Linked DNA regions of Coturnix japonica. The protein of the gene in region 1 binds, or shares a complex with, the protein of each later gene. Links are inferred from orthologs where the notes say so. Each region holds a gene or a part of one and is shown on either strand. Other genes may lie near its edges.

The links.
Region 2: RBM15B (region 1) and WTAP share a complex: the UniProt entries of both Homo sapiens proteins name them as parts of the WMM complex. The link is inferred for Coturnix japonica from reciprocal best matches to the Homo sapiens genes RBM15B and WTAP.

The regions. Positions count from the first base shown.
Region 1 is NC_029527.1:1,216,143-1,220,609, reverse strand, and holds the start of RBM15B (putative RNA-binding protein 15B), read right to left. Parts: upstream 2,935-4,467; 5' UTR 2,813-2,934; coding exon 71-2,812; 3' UTR 1-70. Other genes in the region: MANF (mesencephalic astrocyte-derived neurotrophic factor), read right to left, coding at 3,187-3,371, 4,287-4,428. UniProt on the Homo sapiens protein: RNA-binding protein that acts as a key regulator of N6-methyladenosine (m6A) methylation of RNAs, thereby regulating different processes, such as alternative splicing of mRNAs and X chromosome inactivation mediated by Xist RNA.
Region 2 is NC_029518.1:41,024,325-41,028,618, forward strand, and holds the start of WTAP (pre-mRNA-splicing regulator WTAP), read left to right. Parts: upstream 1-1,449; 5' UTR 1,450-1,725; intron 1,726-4,294. UniProt on the Homo sapiens protein: Associated component of the WMM complex, a complex that mediates N6-methyladenosine (m6A) methylation of RNAs, a modification that plays a role in the efficiency of mRNA splicing and RNA processing.

The DNA.
Region 1 (4,467 bases):
GATTGGCCTTAAAAACAACGGGGTTGTGTGACACACAAAGAAAACATGGAATCTGAAAAGACAGTGTGGGCTAGGCAGTGTCTTTGACTATAACTATCACCATATGTTCCTCTTCCAACTTCCCCAATGTCCTTAGTGCTGACTGGAGGTACTGCTGAGAGAATTCACAAGGAGGGAACGCGTAAAGCATGCCTGTGCTGTCTCTGCCCTTCGCTCCTCCCACGGGCAGGCTGATAACCCCAGCAGCCTGCTTCTGTTTCAAGTAGGAGACCAGATTCCTGAGCAGCCGTCGCTGCAAACCGGGCTCGACCGCGGGGAAGGTCCCCTCAGCCCCCGAGCCGCCCGGGGCGGACTGCGTCGCCAGGAGCACGGCGTAGCCATTGGGGCTGCCTTGTTTGATACGGCGAGTCACCTCATCCAGCTTGGGCTGGTCGAGCCGAAGTCTCTGAGCGATTTTGAGCTGCGTGAGCTTCCCGCCGGACGAATGGTCTTTAAGGAGCCCGTTGATGACGCCGAGGTCCCCCTCCAGGATGTGCATAGACGTGGGGAAGCAGCTGTTTTTTAGCACGAGGAGCCCGTTCCAAGCCAGCTGCAGCGTCTGAGCGTATTCCGACAAATTCTTTACCTTTTTGGTCTCGGATTTCGGCTCCTCGTGAGTTTTTGCTTCCGATTCAGCAGTTCGATGATTGCGTTCGCTGTCCCTTTTTTTAGGCTGCGCAGCGTCGGACGCCTCTCGGTGGGGTTTCTCCTCGGTCGCGTGACGATTGTTCTGGAGGGAGTTGCTCTGTTCTTTCTCAGCTCCGGATTCTGTAGTGTGATTCTCCTTGCGAGCCCGCTCCGGGCTGCGCTCTGAAGCCGGCCCACTGGCCTTTGTCCTGCTTCTGTCCTCGTAAGGGGAGTGCGCAGTCCTGCCGCGGTCGCTGGAAAGGCTCCGCCGTTTCCTCCTCTCTTCCCACAGTTTGGGCACGGCGCGGTCGCTGTCGCTGGCCCAGCGCTCTCCGCTCCGGCTCCGCACCGAGCGGCTGTAGCTCTCCAAGTTGTTCCTGCGCTCAGCGTTTTTGGCAGGACTGGCCCAGTCTGCCTCTGCAAAGCTCCTGTCTCTGTCCGAGTACAGGAGGTGCGGAGGAGTCCTATCTCGCACCCTCAAGTCTTGCTCTAGGCTTCTGTGTCTGCTGTATCCGTCAGCGAGCAGCTCGTAGTGCACGGGGAGGGGCGCGGGCTGGTACTGCTGCGGGTATCTCGTCTCTTCTGCTTTGGCAAAATCCACACGGAGTCTCCTCTCCGGCCCACCCAAGGGAAAGCCTCTCATCTGCGCGCAGGCGGCCTGGGCAGCGTCCAAGCTTTCGTACTGGATATAAGCAAAACTGTCTCCCTTCACATAGTCAATAGTCCTGATGCTGCCAAAGCGGTCAAACTCCCTCGCCAGGGCAGCCAGGGAAGTACTGGGGCCGAGCCCACCCACCCACAGCCGGGTAGTGGGGTTGGCTTTCCCGTAGCCGATTTTGATGGGGTTCCTGCCCACAACGCGGCCGGACATCGCCACCTTGGCCCGATGCGCCATGTCCAAGTTCTGGAACTTAAGGAAGGCGTAAGCGCCGCCTTGGCCGCGGGCCGGGCGCTTGATCACCACTTCTTCGATGATGCCGTACTTCTCGAAGGCCCGTCGCAGCTCCACCTCCGAGACGTTGTGGTCCAGGTTGCCGATGAAGAGGTTGCGGGTGGCTCTCTGGTCGTCCTCCGGCATCAGGTCTTCCTCGGCCACGATGGGGTAGCTGTAGGGCCGGCCGCGCTCGTCGTACAGCCCGTAGTAATCCAGGGCTCGCTCCCGCTCCCGGGAGAGCCCGATGGCGGCGGCTTCCAACGCGAAGGCGGCGGCGGCAGCATGTGCATGGCGGGGCCGCGGCTCCCGCAGCAAAGGGCTGGTGACGGGCGAGAGCGAGCGCTGCTTGTACTGGTATGCGCCGTGCAGGGGGGGCAGGTAGCCCAGCGGCTCCGGGGAGGGGGCGGGGGGCGGCGTGCGGCTCCTGCGGCCCCCGCGCAGGTACACGGGCTCCACCTTGAGCGGCCGGTCGTAGAGCAGCAGCTGCCGGGCCCGGGCGTGTCGCCGGGCGTCGCGGGCGTCCCCGGGGTGTCGGAAGTTGACGTAGGCGACGCGGCCGAGCTCGGGCGTGTGGGAGAGTTTGACGCTGATGTCCCCGGCGCCCCCCCCCGCGAAGCGCTGGAACAGGCGGAACAGCCCGTCCTCCAGCAGCTGGTCGGGCAGGGCCGCGCTCAGCCCGCTCACCAGCAGCGTTTTGTACTCACACGAGCCGGGCGGTTCCCCGGCCAGCCCGGCCGAGCCCCCCAGCGGCGCCAGCAGCAGCGAGGGCGCGGCGCCCGGCGGCGGCCCGGCCAACAGCAGCGACGGGGCCACCACGGCACCGGGCAGCGCCTTGGCCTTGGGCACGCCGAGCGCGCGGGACGACGACGACGACGAGGCCGCGGCTGGGGCGGGCTGCCCGCGGGCTGCGGAGGCCGAACTGCCGCCGGCTGCCGGACGGTGGTTGGACTCGGCGCCGCCGGCGCGTTCATCGCCGCGGTGGCTGCGGGACCCGGAGCCGCCTCCGCCGCTTCCGCCGCTTCCTCCGCCGCCGCCGCCGCCGCCGCCGGGCGTGGACTTGTCCCGGCTGCTGCGGGACGCGCCCGAGCTGCGGTGCGGGCCGCGCCGGCTGCTGCTCTCGCGCTCTCGCTCGCGGGGCCTCTTGGCGGCGGCGGCGGCGCGGCCTCCCCCGGCCCCCGTCGGGCTGCCGTCCCGTTCGCTGCCGCGCTTCATGGCGCCGGGGCCCGCGGCTCAGGAGACGCCTCCGGCGGCCGCCGCCATCTTGGACAAAAGGGAACGAAGGCGGCTCCGGCCGCCGCGCCGCGCGGGCTCCACGTCATCACCGCGCGACACGCCGCATGGCGCCGGCTGAACGCGGCGGCGGCGCGCCGAGACGTGCGCGGGAACGCCTCCCGCCGGCGCGTCACTCCGGGCGGCCAATCAGAATGCGGCGTGCGCTGCGCGGCCACGCCCACCGCCCCTCCCACCACCCCCCGAACCGCGGGAAAAAGCACGTGACAGCGGAGGCGGCGCGGTCCGAACCGTGTCACTTTAATGCGTACAGACACCGAACCGAACCGAACCGAACCGAACCGCGCCAACACGGCTCACAGGTCGGAGCGCGCCCCCGCCGCCCTGGGCGCGTACTTGGGCATGAGTTCATGGATCCTGCGGATGAAGTCGGATTTCTCGGCGCAGCCTTTACACGTCTCGCCCCAGTCGTCCAGGATCCGCCGCAGCTCCTTGACGCGCAGTTTGCGCAGGTCGGCGCTGCTCAGGTCGATCTGTTTGTCTGCGGGGACAGCACAGCCAACATCAGCACCGGCTCCAACGGGGTCACGGCAACAACACGATCCACTGTGAGTCCTCAGGGCCGTGCAGACAGCGGCGGCTGGTGATGGCAGCCATTGGCTGCCTGGGAGGCTGCGGGGCTCCGTTAGTGCAAGGAACGAGGAGAGCAGCAACCGCAGCCCAATGGCCGCCCCCAGGGATGGAAGAGGGGCCGGCAGGATGAAGGTTGTGGCTGTTCTTTGGTCTTCTCAGGGCAGACAGCAGCACGGAGCGTTGGGTCCGAGTTGGGTGGTGAGAGGCAGCAGCCAGGACAGGTGACAGCAGCACCCAGCGATGCCAGCAGCACCCGCACAGCCCGGCAGCTCAACAGGCACCAGCCCAGGTGCACTGTGTGCTGCCAGAACAGCCAGGTCCCAGTAGGGCTTTGGGCACAGCACTGCTGCCAACTGGGAGGTTGAGCAGTGGTTCTGCAGAAGCTAAAGGGGTTAAAGCAGCCAGCAGCCCCACCAGCAGCCCCCATACAGAGCATCCCTATACAGAGCATGCCCCATACAGAGCATCCCCTATACAGAGATGGCACCATAACAGAGCATCCCATACGAGCATTCCCCTATACACGAGCATGCCCCCTAAAAGAGCATGCGCCATAACAGAAGCATCCCCTATAAGAGCATGCCCCAATACAGAGCATCCTATAACGAGCATCTATACAGAGCATGCCCCATACAGAGCATCCCCCATACAGAGCATCCCCTATACAGAGCATGCCCCATACAGCCCATCCCCTTACAGCCATCTGGGATACCCACTGACAGCAGCCCCGCCTGGAGACCCCAATGACCTGAACGTGCTTCTTCCCAGCACATCCAGGATCCCATTAAATGGGTTCCCCCATTTCCTCGTGCTGCCAACTCACCGTATTTCAGTTCGCAGATCTGACTGTCTTTCTTCTTCAGTTTCTCGCAGATCTTTTCCACGGGGATGTGGTGACTCATTGGTTTGGACACCTCGTTAATGATTTTGGTGGCTGCATCACTTGTAGCCCCGATATAATAGCACTGAGGGGAAGAAAAAAGCGAGCTGGAAATCCACGTTAA
Region 2 (4,294 bases), on another chromosome or scaffold:
GATGACTAAGCATTAATAAGCAGCTTGGATTCAGTGTAGTTAATGAGCAACATAATATCCAATAACAACCTCCTGCCCAGTGTGGGTACATTTGCACATTTCTTGGAAATCCAGGCTCTGTGAAATTCAGTCAGTAGGAGAAACAACGTGATATTAAAACCATAATTACTTTAACATGGCTTTAAAAGGGCTGTAATCAATACCCAGCTTTATATCCTTAGTTAACTAAGTACACATCTGTACTTACATTGTCTGTTATAAGCATCCCAGACCTGAGCTTAACTGAGTCACCACTCAGCTGTAATTGTAGCCTAATTGATTGGTTGCTGTTTAGGTGATGCCTTGAGGAGACACTCCACAACATACAGGTGTGAATATATTCCTGACCACCACATTGCGTGCAGCAACTCACAGGTGTGCAGTGGTACCACAAGCGTTGCAGTTAAGCATTATATCAGCTCCACAGACAGCAGTTATAAAATGATAGTATTATATTAACACTGCAGAAGTTGCTGTGGTGCTGTCCAAATGTTCGCTGCTTTTTGCACTGAGCTGAAGTCCATAGTATTTAGTCCAGTATTTGACACATGTGATCACTTTGTGCTCATCTAAAACTTTTAAAGCAAACACCTGCAAAGGATTTGTGGAGGAAGCAGGGCAGGAAAACCGAAAGCGCAATCACAGTCCCTGTTTTTTAGCTCAGATCTAAGATAAGGCTTTCAAAGTACTTCAGCTTTGTATTGCTGGGGTCATCACTCATGTGAAACTTGCTTTTTTGTGTAGCCACACCAGATCTCTGTATACACGCCTTGAGCTTCAAGGTCTTTCTATCGCTAACTCAGGGAAACTGATGCTTCTATATAAATACAAACAGGGAATATGTACGTTGGAATCCCTCCAACGTTTTGTTACCAATTAACACAGCCACGAAGCCGGATTTCTATCGCACCTTCAGGCAGGCAGCGAGGCACAGAGAACCGACTTCAGCTGGGGGTTGACAACTTCCAGCAGCCCGTTCCAGCCCAGCGATTCCATAACACAGCAACCAGCCGAACCCCAGCCGGGCACAGAGCACCGAGCTCACAGCGCACCCTGTGAGGAGCCTCCACAAACCAGCCTCAGTACCGCGGTATCCTTCCGCCCGCCCCGTGATGCCCCGCACTAAACGCTCGTCCCGCCCCTCCGCCGTTTAACTGACGGCTTTTAAACCAACGTTCCGATAACCGGGGAAGCAGCCGCAGCGGGACAGCGAGCCCAGCCCGCCATCGTGTGTGTGCTGCGAGAGAGGCGAGTTCCCCAGGGGAGCCTCTGAGCAGCCGGGCCGACCCGCCAAGAGGCCGCTCCGCCATCGGGGTCGGCACAACCCCCCTCCCCGCTCACTGCGGCGGCTCCAGCTCCCGCCGCGCATCGCGTGTTGCGCGCGCAGCCGCCGCCCTGTGTCGCGGGGCGGAGCGGGCGGGCGCTCATTTCCTCCTTGGGCGCCATTTTGTAGCGCAGAGAGTCCGCAAATAAAGAGCGGGCGGGAGCGGCGCGCGGGGACGCGCGGCTGGGGGGGACGCGGCCGAGACCCCGGCTGCGGAGCGGAGGAACCGGCCGAGCCGGCGGCGGGCGAGGGAGGCGGCGGACGGGCCGGTGCGAGCGGCGTTCGGCACTCGATGTGACGGGTCCGGCCCGGGCTATCGAGCGAGCTGCCGAGAGAGCGGGCCTACGCACCGCCGGCGGGAGGTGAGCGGGAGAGCGGGCGCCGTTTCACCGTGGGCGGCGGCGGGCACCCGGCGGTCCGGCCCTCACCACGGGCGGGAGGGGAGCGGAAGCGCCTAGAGCCATTTTGTGCCAGGCCCGGCGGCCCGCGGGGAGTCTCCTCCCCCACACTCGGCCGCGCCGCGCCCCGGCGCCGTCCGCCTCGAAGGAGGGAGGGGGTGGGAAGAACCGCCACGGGCCGGGGGGGCCGCGGGGTGTGAGGGGTGAGCGGCTGCGGCGGGCACGGGCCGCGGGGTTCGGCGCATAAGGTGGGGCTGGAACGGAGGGGAGGGGGCGGGAGCCGAGGCGGTGTGAAATCAGCCCGCGGCCGAGCGTGAAGTGTGTGTGTATGTACGTGTGTGTGTGGATGGGGGGGGTACCTTTTTCCCCTTCTCGCGGAAGCCTAGATGCTTTTTTAGGGATTTCCCCACAACGCTTATTTACGTATCATTAAAGGAACTGGCAGTTAGTTAAAGCACGAGTAGGGAAGCAGCAGCTCGCTCATATCTGTGCTTAACTACTTCTTGACTTCCTTGTTCTGTTTAAATGAGTTGAGTTTAGAGTGAATGCTTGCATGGGAATTGGGAGGTGAAATTCACATATGCTGTTATCTATCTGTGTATGTATTCAACCTAAGTTTTCTGAGGTAACTTACTGAATTCTTTTAGTAAACTTTATTTTGTGGCGGTGTTTTTTTTATGTCTATCCGCTGCAAATGATAACAAGTGATAGTAAGGCTGCCTTGTGCAATGCAGTGGCCTGTAGCATCCATCTTCCTCGCTGCTGTTGAAGGATCTTCAACAGATGGCAAGAGTTAGCTTTGCTGTCAATGTAGTTTTCTTTTTTTAGCTGTAATTGTAGTTCTCTTGGACACAGGAAATTGTGTTTCTCTCTGTCAAGGATTTCAGTGGTGCTGAAGTTTTCAAGGCTGGAACTTGTGAATACGGAAGCAGTAAAAGATTCCTAAATGTTTTAAGGAGGATTTAAGTAGGCGACTTAAGTACAGGGCTCACTAGCATTCTTTTTCCAATCTCTAAGTTATTCTGTGTTAGTTTGAATGAGTGAGTTGAGCACCATCAAGTTCATATTTAGCCTCTTGGATATATATTCAAGGTACGTGTTAAGTGAAGCAGGAGCTGTGCCAGAAGTTAAAGCACTGAGGAGTGGGGAGGAGAGGGCTTTATCTTGGGGAAGCACTTCAGTTCTGCCATCATCGTATCATAGTATCATAGTCTCGTGAGGGTCGGAAGGGAACTTAGAGATCACCATGAGGGCTAGGAACAGGAAGCTGCCATTCATCAGTGAGATGCTTTTACTACGTGTTTTTAGAGCCATTCCCACAGGTTCTGATGTCAGTTTCTATTTTATGAAGGGCTTAGAATCTGTTTCCTCTGTGTGCACTGCTTGCTGTCTTCTTAGGGTTTTCTTTGAAAGAAAAAGAAACTTGATTTGAATGGAGTTCTGTGTATTTGTTGGTAGTTAGTAGGTTTCTGTAAACTGAGGCAGTTGTGCTTCATTTGGAGTGTATTTGTGTTATTGACAGGAATGGGGCCCTTAGGATTTGTAGAAGTTCCATTAGTTCCATGCGTGCCTTTGTGAATATACCAAAGGTGCTTCGTGTGAGTCCTTTGAAACCAGTTCTTTGAATTGAAGTGCATTGTTTTCATCAAGTTGTGTTCATGACTGAGGAGTTGGCTGCATAATTTGAGTAGACATGAGTTGCAGCAGCTCTATACACTTGTCAAATCTCAGTACTGTTTGCAGCTTTCTATGGAAGGCACATTGCAAAGATGCATGGCTCTAAAGAAGTTCAGCTTCCTTGTTAAATATGCTTTAATGCTGTAATAGCTAATAGTCTTGTGCGGGTTGGAAGGGACCTTAGAGATCATCGAGTCCAACCCCCGGGATTCGAGCCTCTGTGTAGCAGAGCGGCACTTCTACCACTTGCACCACAGGGGGGATTCGAACCCAGGCCCTGTCTAAGGGTTTTTGTGGGCTTGATTTTTAATGTTGTCTGACTTAAATAAATCTCTATTTGCAGGTAAGAAAGCGTGTCTAGTAACTCAAGGAAGTGTGAATATTTAACTTAGCACAAATGTGGTCCTGTTATGGTACATACACACAGGATGAATTGAATTTTGATAGTTAGCCAAGCCATTAACTGACATACTGCCTTCCCTAAAAATAACCACAAGGGCTTTTAACTTAATATTAAGTTTGTAGCTTAATATTAATTTATCACAATATCACAATTAAGCTTAATATTTATTTATCACAATCTTAAAAGTAAGAGTTGAAAGCACATAATGTGACCCAAGCTTTACAGGTAATGTTCGAAATAATTTGCTTTATTCTAAAATGGTACTGAAGTAGTAGTGTTAATTGCTTTTATAGTTGATGTTATCCCCTTCCTTGTGGAACACTGCATTAAGTAGTTTTGGACACACAGGAAATGCCACTTTGCTTATATTTATTTAAATTAACAAGGTCTGATGTTTTTAGCAGGACACGGGGAAATGGTTTTAAGTTGAAAGAGGGAAGATTTAGGTTGGAT